2 linked regions of the Elephas maximus indicus genome follow. The protein of the gene in region 1 interacts with the protein of each later gene in a pairwise test. Links are inferred from orthologs where the notes say so. Each region holds a gene or a part of one and is shown on either strand. Other genes may lie near its edges. The genes, in order: DLC1 and RASA1.

Region 1 (9,215 bases):
CCCTCAGCTCTCACTTACCATACCCTTTACCACGCTTTCTTTTTTCTTCTGTCCACGGTATTATCCATACAGTAGATAATTTAATTATTTATGCCGTTTCTTGTTTAATACCTCTCCTTTGCCCCCATGTGAGCTCCGCAAGGGCAGAGCTCTTTGGCTGGTTGTCTGGTTCTGTGTACCCATGTCTCCCAAGTACGTACAAGGGTCAGTGTTGTTAACTGCCCTGGAGTCGGCCTCTGACTCCCGGTAACCCCCACGCACAACGGAACAAAATGCTGGCCCTGTGCCATCCCCAAGACCGGTTGCAGGTCAGACCGTTGTGATCCATAAAGTTATCATGGGCTAATTTTTAGAAGCAGATCACTAGGCCTTCCTTCCTAGTCCCTTTTTAACACAGGAGGCTCCGCTGACAGATGGGTGGGGACTGCACCTGAGGCACATTGGCTCGGAATTGAGTATGAGTCTCGCATACGCATAAAACCTGTTACAGTCCAGTCGATTCCGACTCATAGCAACCCTATAGGACAGAACTGCCCCGTAGGGTTTCCAAGGAGCAGCTGGTGATTTGAACTGCCCACCTTTTGGTGAGCAGCTGTAGCACTTAACCACTGCATCACCAGGGCTCCTGCATAGAAGGTGAGAACTCTTATCATTGAACCAACATTGCCTTCAGAACAGTAACTATACAATGTATATGTGTGAATGGATACTAAGCATGTTTTTGTATTCTGAAGGTCTCCAGTGGTTCCATTTTAAAGGGAAAAATACAAATATATATTTACATTTTAACAGAAATGGAACAGACATTCTTTCAAGGATATAAGCCTTTGTACCAACTGTGTGGCCTTCTGATGATAGGCTGAGAATGCTGCTCCATTCTTTATAGTAGATAGAGCACTTGTTAAGGAGACAGGCAGAATGACCATCAAAGGGCAGGGATGTGGTTGGAGCGGAGATCTGACTGAGGAGAGAGCATCTGGACCCAGCATTGAGGAGTCTGGACATAGGCAATCTCACCTGTTTTCCCAGGTGAGCACAAGGTTAGGAGAGAATATTCAGCCGCCATTTGAAAAGCTACAGGAGAAGCCAGACGGAGTGTGGGCTCAAGCCAAATGTGAGGAGGAACATTTTTTGAGTTGACTAAAGATGTAGGAATATTTTCGAGCCATGATATGAGAATGTCAGGGAACACTATGGTAAAGCTTAGCAAATATGACTGGAGTGAGACATACGGTGATGTTAGCTTCAGTTTTCATACAGAATGATTGTACGATACGAGCTAGCCCTCTACTAGATGGGCACCCCAGACCTCTCGATAATGGAACCAGCCTTGCATGACTTGTCATCTTCATGTTTCTGAGAGTAACCTAGCCGTTGTGGACAGGCAGCGAGAGCCATCAGCTTCTAAGGTCATATATATTCAAGTAACTTTCTGCGAATAGAATTTTTTTCTTTTTCTTTTTGCTAAGTATATTCTTTCAAAGCAATTGGAAATTTATCAAAGTTTTTTTTTTTCTTTGTAATCATTTCTGGATTGTAATAATTTTCCGCGAAGCAAAGCAAGGAATATAATAATCCAAGAAACAGGTATAATTGGTTTTGGGAGTTTCAGTAATTTTGCTAACTTGGTTAGTTTAACATCAAACTTACATAATTGTGTTCCTTTGATAAATACTCTCAGATGAATACTAAATGGCTAGAAAAAGTGGTGTGTCAAAACTTTAATACTGTTGATTAGAAAGACTAATAATACATAAGCAGATTATTAACTATAAACAATACAGTTGTATGGTCATTTTTTTCTACCTCTGTGTGTGTGCCTATCAAGATCAACTTACTGGATGAAAGTTCATGTTGAAGCTACTGAAAAATTACTAGAAATGCTGTCAAATGAATTATATTTTTATTGCTTTGACATACATGTGATAACTCCAATAAAATAGAAGCTAAGTGCCATTAAATAGGAATTTGTAGATGATCAATGTTCACAGACAAAGCCCTCCTACATTTGTTTCACCAGCTGTACATGCGTGGACATTTCTAAAGTGCTTTGAAGGCTTTTGTTCTCTCTACATATTAATTACAAATTCATTACTATCATGAAACTAACCCATCATAAAAATATAAAGAATAAGAATAGAAGCCTACTTCACTGAAGAGACTGGAAATGTCAAATGTAGGTACTGAAATTATTGATGAATTTGTGAAAGAGTAAAACATCACTTTCAAAGATTGATCTCACTTTGCAGTCAAAGGATTATTGGACTGCATTGAAGTCATTGAACAATTCTGTTAAAGAAGTCCAGATTCAGATTTCCTGAAAATAATTGAGGAATTACTGGATAGACTCTCATAAACCAAAACCAAACCCGTTGCTGTCAAGTTGGTTCCGACTCTTAGCAACCCTACAGGACAGAGTAGAACGGCCTCGCAGAGCTTCCAAGGAGCACCTGTTGGATTAGAACCACCAGCCTTTCGGTTAGCAGCCGTAGCACTTAACCACCACGCCACCAGGGTTTCCTAGACTATCACAGACAGTGTTTATTGCTTAGATCATGGTACGTGAGAAGACAGTTGATCTTCAAAATAACTCTGAATCTTCCTTACGCCAGTCCCTTCTCTTCCCACAGAGCATGTGACTGCTCCACTAGCAAAATTGTTCTACACGTATACATTCAACTCAGGGGTCAATAGGCGGGTAGTTAGATAGATAAATAGATACTAAAAATATCACAGAAGAGAGCAGGATCACAATGTACAATTATTTAAATGATAAAAATAATAGTACCTAACACTGACCGCCGCGGAAACACCCCTACGTGGTGCAGTTCACATTCTCGGGTGCTCACGGAAAGGCTGGAGGTTTGATTTCACTCAGAGGTGCCTCGGAAGAAAACCCCAGTGATCCATTTTTGAAGAAATCAGTCCTTGAAAAGCCTATGGAGCACAGCTCTGCTTTGATACCCACGGGGTAGCCGTGAGTTGGAATCAGGTTAAGGGCAACTGTTTTTAACCTTGAACGCTGCACTAGTCAGAAAGTCTTAAGGCTTTATGTAACTATCTTCTGTAATTTTGAAAGCAAAAAAAAAAAAAAAACTTAGTTACACAGGCTAAAACTGAAGCTTCTAGAGGTTAAGAAATTTGCACAGAGTCACATGGGATGCTAGCCTGGAGCCAGATGTCTATCTGGATGTTCTGTTTTCAAGTTCTTAACTGCCTCGATAGCATACTTTATTAGCCGATGGGGCTTGGAGTAATAGGCACACCTTTGCTGGAGTAAGGTATTTAGATTTACAAATAAAAGGAGAAGGGGACAGATACTTCGGAGCTCTTTCATGTGCCTGACACTGTGATAAGAATTAAGGAAGTCATCTCATTATTTATCTTTATACTCATATTTGGTAAAGCCTTTATGAGTGTGTAAGTTCTGGGATTTGTCTGGAGTCAAGCAACTGAAAGATGAAAAATAAATGAGTGATTAAAGATTGAGGAAGTAATCCTTCTCAGCGTAGAATAAAACATGGCATCTTCCTTGATTAGAGAAAAGAAACTGACTAATAAAGAGTATCTGGATATCTAAAAAAGGTATTTTATAACTGTATGTGAACAGGGTTTTGATGTTTCCTCAGACCAGGATAAACAGAAACAAAGCTAAGTTGTGTAAGTGGAGAAAGGTTATACTATTCATCAGGAGAACCTAGCTAAACAGCATCAGCAGGCGACTGATATTGATTGAGTTCCTACTATACACCAGGACTAGAGGCAAAAAAAAAAAAACCCGTTACCCTCGAGTAGAGTCCAACTCATAGCAACCCTATAGGACAGTGTCGAACTGCCCCATAGAGTTTCCAGGGAGCACCTTGTGGATTCAAACTGCTGTGCTTTCGTTAGCAGCCAAGCTCTTAACCACTATGCAACCGGGGCTCCAGAGACAAATATAGAGATACATAAATTATTTTAGGAAGAAGTTCCATCAATTCTCATTCCACGCCACTCTAGTATTTTTCTTAGGAAAACAAGTACAAACATGTAAATATATGTGGATATGAATTTAATTGTCTCTAATCTGTGAGTTATGTAGAATTGTCCCTATGGTTAAAGAAGAATCTGAAACTCAGAAAGTTTAAGACGTCTTCCCAACTTCACACAACAATTAAGCCAGAAGCCAAGAGAGGCAGAACTGTTACAGGGGGAAAAGAAGCACAAAACGTAGAAGACCTGAGTTGCAATCTGACCTTGGCCACATTCCATCATTTGTCCGTAAGAAAATTACTTCTACAAATTTATAATTCTTTATCTGTAAAATGGGAATGCGTGCAAAGATTAAATGGGCATGGTGTTGGAGGAAGTACTTTGAATATGAACATAAATAATCCTTCAAAGAATTTATGAAAGAATGTACTTCCTTCTTGGCATACATTTGAAAGTTAAAGGGACTCTAAACAGCCATTTTTCTGATCAGTGATGTTATGGTCTAAGCTTTGAGAAACTGCTTCTGCCGTCATGTTTTTATTTGAATACTTCTCACCTTCAAATTCATGTGCCATATAAATCATTATTATTATTTGCCATTTAACATATCTGTAAAGTTGTCCGTGCCCTGCACTGATTTTGGGAGAATTTAATTATTCATTAAGAAGGGAGGTAGTAGCTATAAGGCCATACTTCTTTAAGTTATCACCTACCCAACATTCTCAGGGTGTACTGAGGAGATGGCTCAGTCCTATTCAGATATCTGCCAACATTTACAGAAATTAGAGCCAACTGGGAATAAAAGTGAACATGAAAGCTACTTAAATTTCAAAGAAGTGCAGGAAAGATCTTAGGGCCAATAGGTTTAATGTTTCTTGTCTGTCTTTGAGTGTTACCCATTTATCATACTTGAGCTGGAATTGTCCTTGTCCCTCCTATTATTGAAAATCCCTAGGAATTTAGGGACAGACCCAATAATTGGATTGGTGATCACCAATCCCTGAAAAAAATGTTTCAGCCATACATAACAGTAGACTGTTGATTGTAAATAAAGTAGAAGGGGAAAATTACAGAGCAATTTAAACTCAGCAAGATAATTAAACTCAGAGACACTGTTCTCCGCTTCTCCGGTCTAAACAAAGAAGTCCCCCCACTGACCTCTCTACAAACTGGATGTCCCAAGGCCATGTCCCTCTGCTCTCCTTCCACTTTGCCTAAGGAGTACGCTGGGTCATAAGGGAATGAGAATGGTTGTGACTTCTTCCCTGAAACGGCTCACGCTTCCTCTGCTTTTGTATTTGTGACATTTTATTACAAGAGGAGCTAACATCTATTATTAATTGATGCACTAATTAAAGCCATACTTGCAGTTTCCATTAGCTTATTCCCTAAATTCTCCGGAGTTGGCTGTCTGGTTTTAATCAAAACCAAATGGTAGTCCAAGTTCCCAGCGTGGAGCAGCTAGGAGGAAGTCATTCAGTGGAGGCACGAGAAAGCAGAAAAGATAAACAGATGATGTTCACAAAAATCGTGTCGGGCATAGGGTGTTGGTACCGTGAGCTGCTTTAGAGACGTGATTCAGAGACTCTGTCGTGTTAGGTGGAAGCAGTCGCAAAGTATTTAATGTCAGCAGGATTCTAATATGATCAAGATGGAGTCTGTCTCCTGCCTTTCCAGCCCTGGATTTGTGTAAGTCTGGAGGATTCTGACTAGAGGTAAAGCTGCTTATGCCACAACCCACAACCACTTTGATTCGTGACAGCGATTTGGGATTGGAGAGATCTTGAAGAAAACGTTGGATTTACTGGGTTCTTGGAATTGTAGATTTTCTCAGGTGCTATCTGTAGAGCAGCAGCACTTTGAAGTTTTAAGGAGTGGGAAAAGGGTTTTAAAATTTAGAAGAATTACGGTATTAAAACTCTACATTCATCTTGCTCTCTTAAAAGATCTTTTGAAAGGAGCACTGGCAAAGGTATTTTGGCTAAGCTGTGTATATGCATTGAATGTAGTGGAAAGGTTGTAGCTGGGGAAGAGAACTGTGTTTTCTTTCTTTCTTTTTTTCTTTCATCAGCAACGTGGGCTAGAAAAAGCTCTAAGACTTTATGACTCTCCAGCTAATCACCTCAAGAGCTTTGACAAACTCACTTCAGTTCTGTGTAAAATCAGAATTCCTAAAACGCCCAGCCGGGCTCTGCTCTCTCTCGCTCCCCTCCCCAACTGCAGTCTTTCTCACATACACACTACTCAGAGGCAGGAAATACTTTCCAGGCAATCTGGGCCTGGTTGTGGAGGCCCCTTTCGCAAAACATCAGTCTGAATTGAGTAGACAGAAGTCACCAGGAACGCCTTGACAGAATCCTGCTTTAGCTAAGGCTCCCTCCAGCTGCGGAGGGTGTTTTGGTTAGAATCACACACTGCGTAAAACTGCTTAGAATAGAGCCATGATCTCAACCACGAAATGTGAACTTGTATTCTGGAGAAACTAACGGGACGGACTTCTTTCATAGCCCGAGTGTTGAACAGTGTCTTGCCTGGGCGTCTCAGCTTCTCGTTGTCTAGGTAAGAAGGTCTGCTGGGCTCTGTCTTTATACTTGGAGGTAATCGTTGGAGAGGTGGAAAGACTGAGATAAATGTTAGCACCTTGGACCCGAGGGGTGTCTTCCTAGGTTTTTGAGTTAAGCCATGAAATCAGAAGTGAAAAATGTTTACTAAGTAGAAAACTGTGAGTCAAATAGTTTTAGCAAAATGTCATTTCTAAAACAGCCTCCATATAGATTTTACTCTTTTCCTCCATAAAGTAAGATTTTATTTTGATCCCTTTTTATTCTTAACTTATTTATTAATTGAGCTATAAGAGCAGTTTTTCGAACACATGAGATAAAATGTAACGCATATATGTTCTAACACGTAGGGATGAGATGTGAATAGATTCCATTTTTTTTTTTTTAAACCGTCTTTTGCCCACAGGGAGAGTAGATATTAGTAGGGTAACTGCTTTAATAATGAATCTCCTAAGACAGCTGATTTGTGTCGCATTTACGATTATGACTATTGGGTTCCTCAATATCTCTGCATATCAGTTTCAACTACAGGTCAAGCTGTTTGTGTAGAGCTTAAAAAAAAAAAGTAACAAATGCATGAAATTTCAGAACTTATTTCTGCCCTAACTAGTATTTCATCTGAGTTTCAGAAATTGAAATATCACACTTATTATTTAATTTATATATTTCCTTTTCTGAATTCACTGATCAGGTTGTATTTTCTGTGGATGTTTTTGAAAGATGAAAGTAAACCTTAATGACAATGCCGTTCATTATTACTGTTTTAGGACAGCCGGAAATCTCCACAATCATATGAAAGATGGATCAAGCATCCATGCTTCATATAACCATAAAACTACATGTCTAAAGGACTATGGTGCCACCACATCTACCTTAAAGGGTTAAATATGCAAGATATGAGGAAAGAAACTTTATATTACTGAAATAGCATGGACTACCAATGCATAGCATATTGTTACATTTATACCTTCAAATATTTAGAATAAACACCATTATTTTCTGGACATAACATGGAATGGTGTAAAAGGGAGCAAAGATTCAGGCACATTACCGAGTCAGTTAGAGTAACTCATCTGTTAGTACACTGAATGAAAGTTGGAGAGCTACTTTGACAGCTGGGTCATAAAAAAATCAAATGTTTTAATGATGAGCTTTTACATAGTACAGGGTGGCCATTTACTGGATAAGTTAATTTATTCTTAAAATCTATGCTAGAATAACATATTGATATGTTTTAACCGTTCACTAACAATTTGTCATGTTGAAACTTTCAATCCATGAGAAAAAGGATCGATGTATCTATAAATGTTAAATATATGTATATACTGACTTATCTACAGTGTAGCTTAATAAAATCCTTGAAGAGAATTTCGGGGAAGGAGAGAACGTAAGAGATCATCTTTTCCAACAGTGCCCTCAGGCTTCTGACAAGGGGACTGAGGAATGGCATTCTTAAGTGACCTGTCCAAGATCATACCACTCGCTAGTGAAGAGAGGACAGTGAAACACAGTCCCCCAATTCATGGTCCAGACATCTCTACAGCACAGCGTGTTGCTCTCAGATAATGTGCAAAATGAAGTATGAGCGTGTCCAGGAGAAAAGGCTACTTCGCAGACAGAAATTGGAGTGCCTCTTAAAAACAAAAAAAAAAGGTTTAAAGCTGCCACTAGTGTTACTTACGTGGGAAACAAAAAAATCAAGGTTTCAAAAAAAAAGCAAGTTTACTAAGTAATACAGTTTTCTCAAATGCACAAGTTTTCTTAAAAATATTTACTGTGGCTTTAGCCAGCACTGTAAATGAATAACTTGTTTTGTGATCGTTCTGTCACATCTCATGTTCGTGCCAGGAAAATCGCTCCATGTGCTAATAATTATATTAATTTTAAACTGGTGTTTCTTAGAAACACAGGGCTAGACGAGAGTTTGACTAATTCATATCCTTGTATTCAAATGGTATCATAATAAAGCCATCCCAACCAGTGACTTTCAGAGGAGATTTTGCTGCCCTTTCCCCGTTGGAAACTGTTTAAGAACCTCATGTATCCAGACTTTTTTTTTTAATCTAACCTAAATCGTGATTGCTGCAGCTTATTTCCAGTTTTTTGAGTTTTTTCCTCAGTGGAAATATAAAAAGTCTAAATGGACACATGATTGCTCAAGGGTATATTTCCAGGTCAGATAAGCCCATTCCTCTCACCTTCCCTTCTTCAGCTTATTTTCCATCCTGTAATTGGTTTGTATCTCTATTCTGAGCCTTCTGCAAGGTCCTGTAGTTGGAGAATATAGGATGTGTCACAGTATTTAAATAATGCTTGGGAGAGTTGGGCATTTCATCTGAATCATATTTCACCCATGACAATATAGGCTGCTATGCAAGCTGAAACACTACACTTTCCAAGGCAATAGCCCTTCTCATAAAACTAATGTTTGCCATCTCCAAAGCACGCTGTTTCTTTAGGGGGAATGTGTGTGATGATGCTTTTTTCTTTTTTCTTTTTTTTCTCCTCCCATATTCATGAACGAGGCTGTTTCCCGATGTTACCACTTAAAAGATACCCAATTCAACACTTCCAGTGTCACCATTACTGGAATGAGGAATTAATGTAGCAAAGCCTCTGTGTATCGCATGATTCCTACAGGACCTTGAAAAGACAACACATTTCATTTTTAATTAAAGCCAT
Region 2 (8,803 bases), on another chromosome or scaffold:
ATAGAGTTTCCAAGGAACACCTGGTGGATCCGAACTGCCGAATTTTGGGTGTACAGCCACAGCACTTAACCACTACATCGGCAGGGCTTCCGCATAAGAAATAGTAAACCTCAAAGTCTAGATCTGTCTGATGGTCAGAATATTTTGCAAAATATTCTTAAAAAAATAAAATATTTTGAAGATACCTTGTCAAAAATGTGTGGTAATCTCTTTGGATGAAAAGGACAATGCTAATTCTAAAGTTAAACATAAGCTAGATAAGATAGCCATACTAGGTTGATTTATGAATAGACATAGGAGGTCCTTCCTACTAGCTGAGAAATTGATTTCCAAACATGTGAGCTGATCTAACCCAGTATCTATTGAAAGGGTGGAGATCTTTTCAAAGCAATGTTTTAAAGATGCCTAGCACTGGGATAGGCAGTAGAATAGACCATAGAATGCCTTTGCAGTCTAGTCTTGTAAATAAAACCAAAACCAAGCAGGTTGTCGTGGAGTTGATTCAAAATCATAGCGACCCTATAGGGCAGAGTAGAATCATCCCACAGGGTTTCCAAGGAGTGGCTGATAGATTTGAACTGCCAACCTTTTGGTTAGCAGCCCAACACTCAAACCACTACACCACCAAAAAAAAATAATAAATAAACCAAACCCAGTGCCGTCGAGTCGATTCCAACTCCTAGCGACCCTATAGGACAGGGTAGAACTGCCCCATAGAGTTTCCAAGGAGCACCTGGCAGATTCGAACTGCCAGCCCTTTGGTTAGCAGCTGTAGCACTTAACCACAACGCCACCAGGGTTTCCACTACGCCACCAGGGCCTAAAAATAACTAGAAAGCAACATAACGCAGTATATAATTGGTGTCAGACTGCATTAAATATTGGCTTTTAAGTGTGTAAGAATTTTCAAAAAGGGGAATTCTGCAAATTATACCTAAGCTCTCGGGCTGAATATAGGCGGTATGTGAGCACTTACAGATCAGTTGTAACCAAGACCTGCTAACTGGCCAGTTCAATGCCTTATATTGACTGACTGATAGTGGTGACTGAAGTGAACGCATTGGAGGTGTGGGATGCTGTTTAGGATTGAATTGTGTCCCCCCCAAAATCCTAACCTCTACAATTGTGGTTATAATCCCACTTGGGAATGGCTTTTCTTATGTTAATTAGGCAGTATTAGTCTAGGAAGGAGTCCTGGTGGCAAAGTGGTTAAGCATTTGGCTGCTAACCCAATGGTAACCCATCAGCTGCTCCACAGGAGAAAGATGTGGCAGTCTGCTTCCATAAGGATTTACAGCCTTTGAAATTCTATGGGGCAGCTCTACTCTATTCTATAGGGTTGCTGTGAGTGAGAATCCACTCGATGGCAATGGGTTTGGTAAGGATTTGATTAGTGTAGAGTGTGTCTTCAGTCAATCTGTTCTGAGATAAAAAAGAGATTAAACAAGTGAGCAAGGAGAGATGGAGGAAGATAGATGCTACACCACACAAAGATCACCAAGAAGCCAAGGAATAGAAGCTGAAGAGATAATGACCTTCTCCCAAAGCCAGCAGAGAAAGTCTTCCCCTAGAGCTGTTGCCCTGATTTCAGACTTCTAGTCTTCCAGTTGACTCGATGGCAGCAGGTTAGCCTTCCAAACTTGAGAAAATAAATCTCTGTTTGTTAAAGCCACCTACTTGCGTTATTTCTACTATAGCAGTACTAAATAACTAAGAAAGATGCTAACACACTGCAGGCCTTCAAGCCAAGGCTATATGAAAACTTGTTGGGGATGCTGTACTTGGAATTTATGCATTAGGCAATAGCTGGAGTAGTTACTTCGATGGTCTCTTCTGAGGTTCTAAAATTAAAAAAAGAAAGAAAGAAAAAAATGTTATCAGAGGACCACCATAAGTACCGGTAGTACTTCATTATTCTCTTAAGTACTATAAACTACTTCATTCTGCTCTTTTTCATTTCCTAACCTTCTTTCTGGGCTAGCATAGAATTTAGTAACCCAACACCTACAGCTCTTACCCATACACTTAATGAATGCCATTGAGTCTGCTTTCTTGTTCATTCTTTCTTTCAGAATGTGTTTAGGTATTGCACACCTTCTTGATTAGTGGCGTAGTGGTTAAGAGTTAAACATAAACTAGATAAGCTAAGCTACGGCTGCTAACCAAAAGGTCGGCAATTCAAATCCACTAGGTGCTCCTTGGAAACTGTGTGGCGCAGTTCTACTCTACCCTATAGGGTTGCTGAGTTGGAATTGACTCAATGGCAATGGGTTTTTTTTTTTTTTGGTTTCTTGATTAGTATACTATATTCTAGAGCAGTGGTTCTCAAACTCAATTGAGCAAACAGGTACTTGGAGACTCACTAAAGGAGTATAGATTGTTGAGCCCTCTGGCCCACAGTTCAGAGGGCCTGATTCAGAGGGGTCTGAAAATATGCATTTCTAGCAAGTTTCTTGGATATTGCTGGTCTGAGGTCACTTTGACAACTATAGTTCTGTAACTATAGTTCTGGTGACTGACTAGTCCATCTTCATTCTCCCAGGTGGTACACTGGGTAAGAGGTAGAACGATTTAGGAATTCTCAGAACTACTATTTAATCAAGTTTATCACTGACTTGATAACTGGCCTACGCAAACTTCTGAAGTAAATGTACAGAGTGTACCTTGTCACCTCTTTTAGCAATCTTTACTCTTTTTCCCAGGCCTCTATTACAGCCCCCCATCTACAATCTGCTCCTATGCTGGTTTGATTGTCCTTATCAGAAAAAATATTGATCTCAAAAATCAATATTCAATGGTATTCAAGGTTGATCCATCCAGTACAAATCTAAAAGACAAGAACAATATATGAATCTAAATGGGTACGTTATCAATCGCATTAGTTTTCTAGGGCTGCCATAATAAGGTACCACAAACTGGATGGCTTAACACAATAGAAATTCACTCACAGTTCTGGAGGCTAGAAGCCTGAAATAAAAATGTCAGCAGGCCATGCTATCTCTCCTAGCTTTTGATGGTTTTGGCAATCTTTGGCATTCCTTGGCTTGTAGATACATAACTCCAGGCTCTCTCCATTGTCACATGGGCTGTGTCTACATTTCCCTCTTTTTATAAGGGCAGCAGTCATATTAGGTTTAGGGCCTACCCACATGCAGTGGACCCTCATCCTGATTATACCTGCAAAGACCCTATTTCCAAATATGGGCACATTCACAGGTTCTGGGTGAACATGATTTTTTGGGGGGACACTACTCAACCCAGGTAGATGGTGAGCAAAAAAGAGGAAGAACCCCAACGAGATGGAGTGATACAGTGGCTGCAGCAATGGCCTCAAAAACACCGATTGTGAGGATGGCCCAGGACAAGGCAATTTCGTTGTAAATAGAGAAATGACAGCACGTAACAACATCCAACCCAGTACACCAATAGTGTAATCTCAAACAATGGAAATGAGTCCATCACATACATGAATGCATACCACAGCTTACATACATTCTAGTACAAAAAGCAAAACAAATCCTCTCTCTTTGGCCATACTAAGGGTGGGATTTGTTAATTGATAATTTTTAAAATTACATCTATCTTTTTTTTTTTTTTGATACTTTAGGGTCTCTCTGGCATTTGGCTTATTGAAGGTGCTGTGTCAACTCACATATGCACCATGCCCTGCAGTTTTCTGCACAAGTGTGAGGAGAAAAGCATGGTTGGTGTCGGCTGTGGCTCCTCCTTCCCACACCCCTTCCTTAGTACTCACGAGACTTGCAATGGCACAGGTGAAAGTACGTGTCTGTGTGTTTTAAAAAAAACAAAACATATATTGGTAGACATCTGACTTCACAACCACATTTATTTCTACCAAAGCTCCCGTTATTCCCATATAAAACCAAAAAAAACCCAGTGCCGTGGTCCTGTTTATTTGTTTCCTTCTTTTGGGTACCAGAAAGTCTTTTTTTTTTTTTTTGAGTTTGTAATAGTCGTACTGTGATTTATATCATGCAAAAAAAAAAAAAAAAAAAAATTAACGGTACAGCCTGGGTCTTGGCAGCAGCATCACAAGCCCCTCATCCACCCCCACAGCTGGCTGCTATCTGGGCCTCCGGCTAAGGCCGTTTTATCCACGGGTCTGGAAGTAAGGGACTGGCTCTGTGGCACCTTCCTTTCCCTTTCTCATTCCTTCCTCTCCACTGCCTCCTTGTCCCTCTCATCTCTCCCGTCTTCAAGGCGCTCAGGGGCCTCGCCTCCTTTACCCTATCTCCTGCAACCAGAGAGGACCGCCACGGGTTAGTTGGGCTTGCGCCGCCGTTCTGGTAGGCACGAGGCCCCTTACGCAGGCCACCCGCCCATCAAACAAAGCCCCGGGAGGCAGGCGCGCGCCGCCGGCGACACCCAAAGAAGCGGTCGTACCGCCACGCGCTCTAAACAGAGCGGGACAGCGAGCCAGGCCACGCGCCGCGCGCCCCCGCCGCTTCCTTCCCTCCGGACTCTTCCTTTTCCTCCCTCCAGGCCCCGTTCCCCCCGCCCCCGCGCCGGGAACGCGCCTGCGCAGACACTGCCCTCTCCCTCCTCCTCCGCCCTTCCTTCCCTCCGTTCCTCCTCCCCTGTCCCGCCTTCCTTTCTCTCTCCTTGGGTTTCACTGAGCTCTAGGTTGTGAGCAGTTCAGTTCATTTCCCCAGCACCCCGCCCCCCTTCTTCATTCTCTCTCCACCCCTCCCATCTCCAGCCCGGTGGAGGATGAAGCGGCCACAGTGGCCCCAGCCCCAGCAGCAACACCGGCGGTGGCTTTGGTGGGGGTGGCGGGAACTCCGGTGGTGAAGAGGCGGTGGTGGCGGCGGCAGCAGTGGCTGAAGCAGTGGAAGCCGCCCCAGCCGCTTCCCCCTTGCTTCCCTTCCTCTTTAGTGCAGCCAGGAAGTTTTTCGCTTCTCTGCATGTGTGTGTGCGTGCGTGTGGGTGTGTAAAGTGAAGGTTTGGGCAGCGTTTGTGCAGGCGTAGGATTTTTTGCCCACTTCGCTTCCCGTAACCCGGGCAGCTCCAGAGCCTGGGCTGTGGCCCGAGGAGGGGGCGCGGCGGCGTCGGGCTCTCTCCTTTTGTTGTTGTTTCCTCCGCCTGGGGAACTGAAGGGGGAACGCGCCTGGGTGGGGCGACTCGGAGCCCGGGCCTGGTGGCCCCCGGGGCTCCCGGGCAGGCAGGGCAGGGCAGAGTAGAGCGGGCTTCAACATGATGGCGGCCGAGGCCGGCAGCGAGGAGGGCGGCCCGGTGACCGGCGGGGCAGGAGGCGGCGGCGCGGCGGCAGGCTCGAATGCCTATCCGGCTGTGTGTCGGATGAAGATACCTGCGGCCCTGCCTGTGGCATCCGCCCCTTATCCTGGGCTGACCGAGGCTGAAGTGGTCGGGAATCTGAGTGGCGGAGCTTCATATGGGCCAGCGTTCCTAGGAGCCGGGTCTGTGGTGGGGACACTGGGGGGAGCCGGACTGACAGGGGGAGGTGCTACCGCTGGTGTGGCTGGTGCAGCTGCCCCCGGCCCTGGTGGGGACATGGCTCTCACCAAGGGGCCCGCTTCGTTGCTTGCTGAGACCCTAGGGCCAGGCGGCGGATTTCCCCCTCTGCCGCCGCCGCCTCAGCTGCCTACTTTGGGCGCGAGCCTGGCGACAGTGGACGAAGGTGACTCTCTGGATGGACCAGAATATGAGGAAGAAGAGGTGGCCATCCCCCTGACCGCTCCCCCAACTAACCAGTAAGTCAAGACTGCTGTTGAGGGACCCGGGAAGCGGCCTCCAGGAAAGAAGTGGGGAGTAAAAGTGGGGAAACGTATGGTGTTCTTTCACCTGTGATTTGTTCTGGAAAAAGTTTTTAAGTTTCAGGCTCCATGTGCGGGGATTTAATATAATCACCCATCTTCCTTACAGGTATATCGTATCTCCTGGCGCCTTCGTATATTTATTGCTCCTCTGGGAAGATGGAAAGTTTTTAAGATGGGAAGCATGGAAAAATATGTATTCATTGAGAACCGGATATGGTTCTGCTCCTTCTAAATTGAGGTGGTGTCCCAGGATTCAGCTGAGTTTGCAGCTACCAAGGCAGTCATTGACTATGTTAACCTGTGTGTGTGTTCCCAGAAGCTTTGAATACGAGCATTTGAGTATTGGGTTAACATCATTCGAGAATGCATTGGTCAGAAGGCTTTGTTTTTGTTGAACTGCAAATCCCAATTTTTGTCTGCTGAAAACACAGTGATATAGAAAAGTCTCTGGATCTTTTAGGCGGTCAGAGAGAATTAGGAAAGCAGTTCTGTGAATTCCAGGTGTGATTAAGGGTTTCATACTCCAACGATGTCTGTAACTTGTTTCATAGAGTATATGTCACTACCAGTGTAATTCCTTTGTAGTTGAGATTCTGTAAGTACAATACTGAAGCAAAACAAAATTAATAGTGCTTCTTATCAGCACTTTTTGTTGGTGGCCAATACAATATCCTGTTTGAAAATTAATTTTAACAGTTGCTGTAGAATATATATGACAGATTTTTTTTTTTTTTATTGTTAGTACCTTCCCTTTGTTATTTTCATAAGTGGACTTTGGTATGTGTTTAAAAAGGTGGACCTTGATGAGACCAAGATGTTGAGATGGGAAATGGTAATAGCTGACAAAACTTGTTTTGTAGACTCCCCACATCAGTTTAATTGACAGAATTTCAGAATATTTGATGATTATCCCAGGAAAAAAGATTTGGTTCATATGATGACAGTCACTGGACAATCAAAAGCCTTCATCAGAGAATTTAGAAAGAAGAAAAAAAAAAAAAAAGAAATTAGCAAGAGATATTGTAATACCAATCTATTTTTGACTTAAGGCATTATGTTTTGATATTTAAGGTGGAAAAGTAAATTAGTCTTATTTATGCCAGTTACGGTATAAGAATGTTGAATATTCCTTTTATACTATTCCATAGAGTTCAGTTTTTTTTGTGTAATTTTATTCTGGCTTATGTCTGTGCATTGCAGATATTTTTGGAGGGGGTTATGGCTTTATTAAAAATTCCAATTTTACCCTGAGGGACCAGATTACTGGGCTGAGGACTGTGGGGACCATGGTCTCCAGGAACATCTAGCTCAATTGGCATAACATAGTTTACAAAGAAAATGTACTACATTCTACTTTGGTGAGTAGCGTCTGGGGTCTTAAAAGCTTATGAGCGGCCATCTAAGATGCTAGATTGATCTCATCCCATCTGGAGCAAGGGAGAATGAAGAAAACCAAAGACGCAAGGGAAAGATTAGTCCAAAGAACTGGTAGACTACAACTACCATAACCTCCACCAGACTGAGTCCAGTACAACTAGATAGTGCCCAGCTACCACCACTGACTGCTCTTACGGGGAGCACAAGAGAGGATCCTGAACAGAGCTGGAGAACAATGTAGGATAAAATTCAAACTCACAAAACAAAACAAAAAACCAGACTTACTGGTCTGACAGAGACTGGAGAAACCCTGAGAATATGGCCCCCGGACACCGTTGTAATTCAGTACTGAAGTCACTCCTGAGGTTCATCCTTCAGCCAAAGGTTAGACTGGACCGTAAAACAAAATGAGACTAAGTGGGCACACCAGCCCAGGGGCAAGGACAAGGCAGGAGGGGACAGGAAAGCTGGTAATGAGGAACCCAAGGTCTAGAAGGGGAGAGTGTTGAGATGTTGTGAGTTTGGCAACCAGTGTCACAAAACAATATGTGTATTAATTGTTTAATGAGAAGCTAGTTTGCTCTGTAAACCTGTCTAAAGTACAATGAAAAAAAGAAAATACAAAACTCAATTGTATTTCTGTATAAGCAGTAAACAATAGAAAACTGAAATTTAAAAGATAATACTAGTTACAATAGCATCAAAAAACATAAGATTCCCAGGAATAAATCTAAGCAAATGAGGTACAAGACCTCTATGTTGAAAACTACTAAACATTACTAAGAGAAATTAAAGACCTAAATGAATATGGAGATATGTCATATTTATGGATTGGAAGACTCAGTATTGTTAAAATGTCAGTTTTCCCCAAACTAATCTCTAGATTCAAAAGACCCCCAACTGTGTAGGCAGAATAATGGCCCCTGAAAGATGCTCTGAACCTAAAATCCTTGAAACCTGTGAGTGTATTTTGCCACAGTCTAAGAGGGAATTAAAGTTGCAGGTGGATTAAGATTGCTAATCAGACGACCTTAAAATAGGAAGATTATCCTTAATTATCCAGTGTAATCACAAGAATTCTTAAAAGATGGAAATGGGGACAAAAGAGTCAGTGTCAGAGTGATGTGATGTGGGAAATTCTCAACCAATCATTGCTTACTTGAAAATGGAGGCCCATAGCCAAGTAAAAGGCAATAAAATAGATTTTCCTCTACAATCTCCAGAAACGAATGCAGCCCTACTGACAACTTTGTTTTAGCCCAGTGATGCCTGTTTTGGACTTTTGACCTCCAAAACTGTCAAATAATAAATTTGTGTTTTAAGTCATAAAAAAAATTCTGGTCTTACAGCACTACTTGCACATCATCAGGCCTTTTTGAAAAAAATCAGTTAAGTATTAAGTACCTAGTATGTGCTCAAGACTGTGGTTGTAATAAACCGTGTAACTTTTCATACCAAAGAAATCTAGCTTTATGCCTATTCTGCAACTTAATTGAAGTAGGCATATTTAGGCCATTGTAGTTCTAAATTATTTTTAATAAGCATGAATGAGTACTTAGGAAAAATTGTGAGAAATCCATTGTATGAGATTTTCATCATTATGTATTTAGAATAAAATAATATTTGTA

Evidence for each region.
Region 2: the proteins of DLC1 (region 1) and RASA1 interact in binary tests that used the Homo sapiens proteins (3 or more experiments, as listed by UniProt). The link is inferred for Elephas maximus indicus from reciprocal best matches to the Homo sapiens genes DLC1 and RASA1.

Annotation. Positions count from the first base shown.
Region 1 is NC_064840.1:73,077,187-73,086,401, reverse strand, and holds the start of DLC1 (rho GTPase-activating protein 7), read left to right. Parts: upstream 1-5,481; 5' UTR 5,482-5,687; intron 5,688-6,128; exon of another isoform or gene 6,129-6,531; intron 6,532-9,215. UniProt on the Homo sapiens protein: Functions as a GTPase-activating protein for the small GTPases RHOA, RHOB, RHOC and CDC42, terminating their downstream signaling.
Region 2 is NC_064820.1:93,611,844-93,620,646, forward strand, and holds the start of RASA1 (ras GTPase-activating protein 1), read left to right. Parts: upstream 1-4,598; 5' UTR 4,599-5,214; coding exon 5,215-5,732; intron 5,733-8,803. UniProt on the Homo sapiens protein: Inhibitory regulator of the Ras-cyclic AMP pathway. Stimulates the GTPase of normal but not oncogenic Ras p21; this stimulation may be further increased in the presence of NCK1.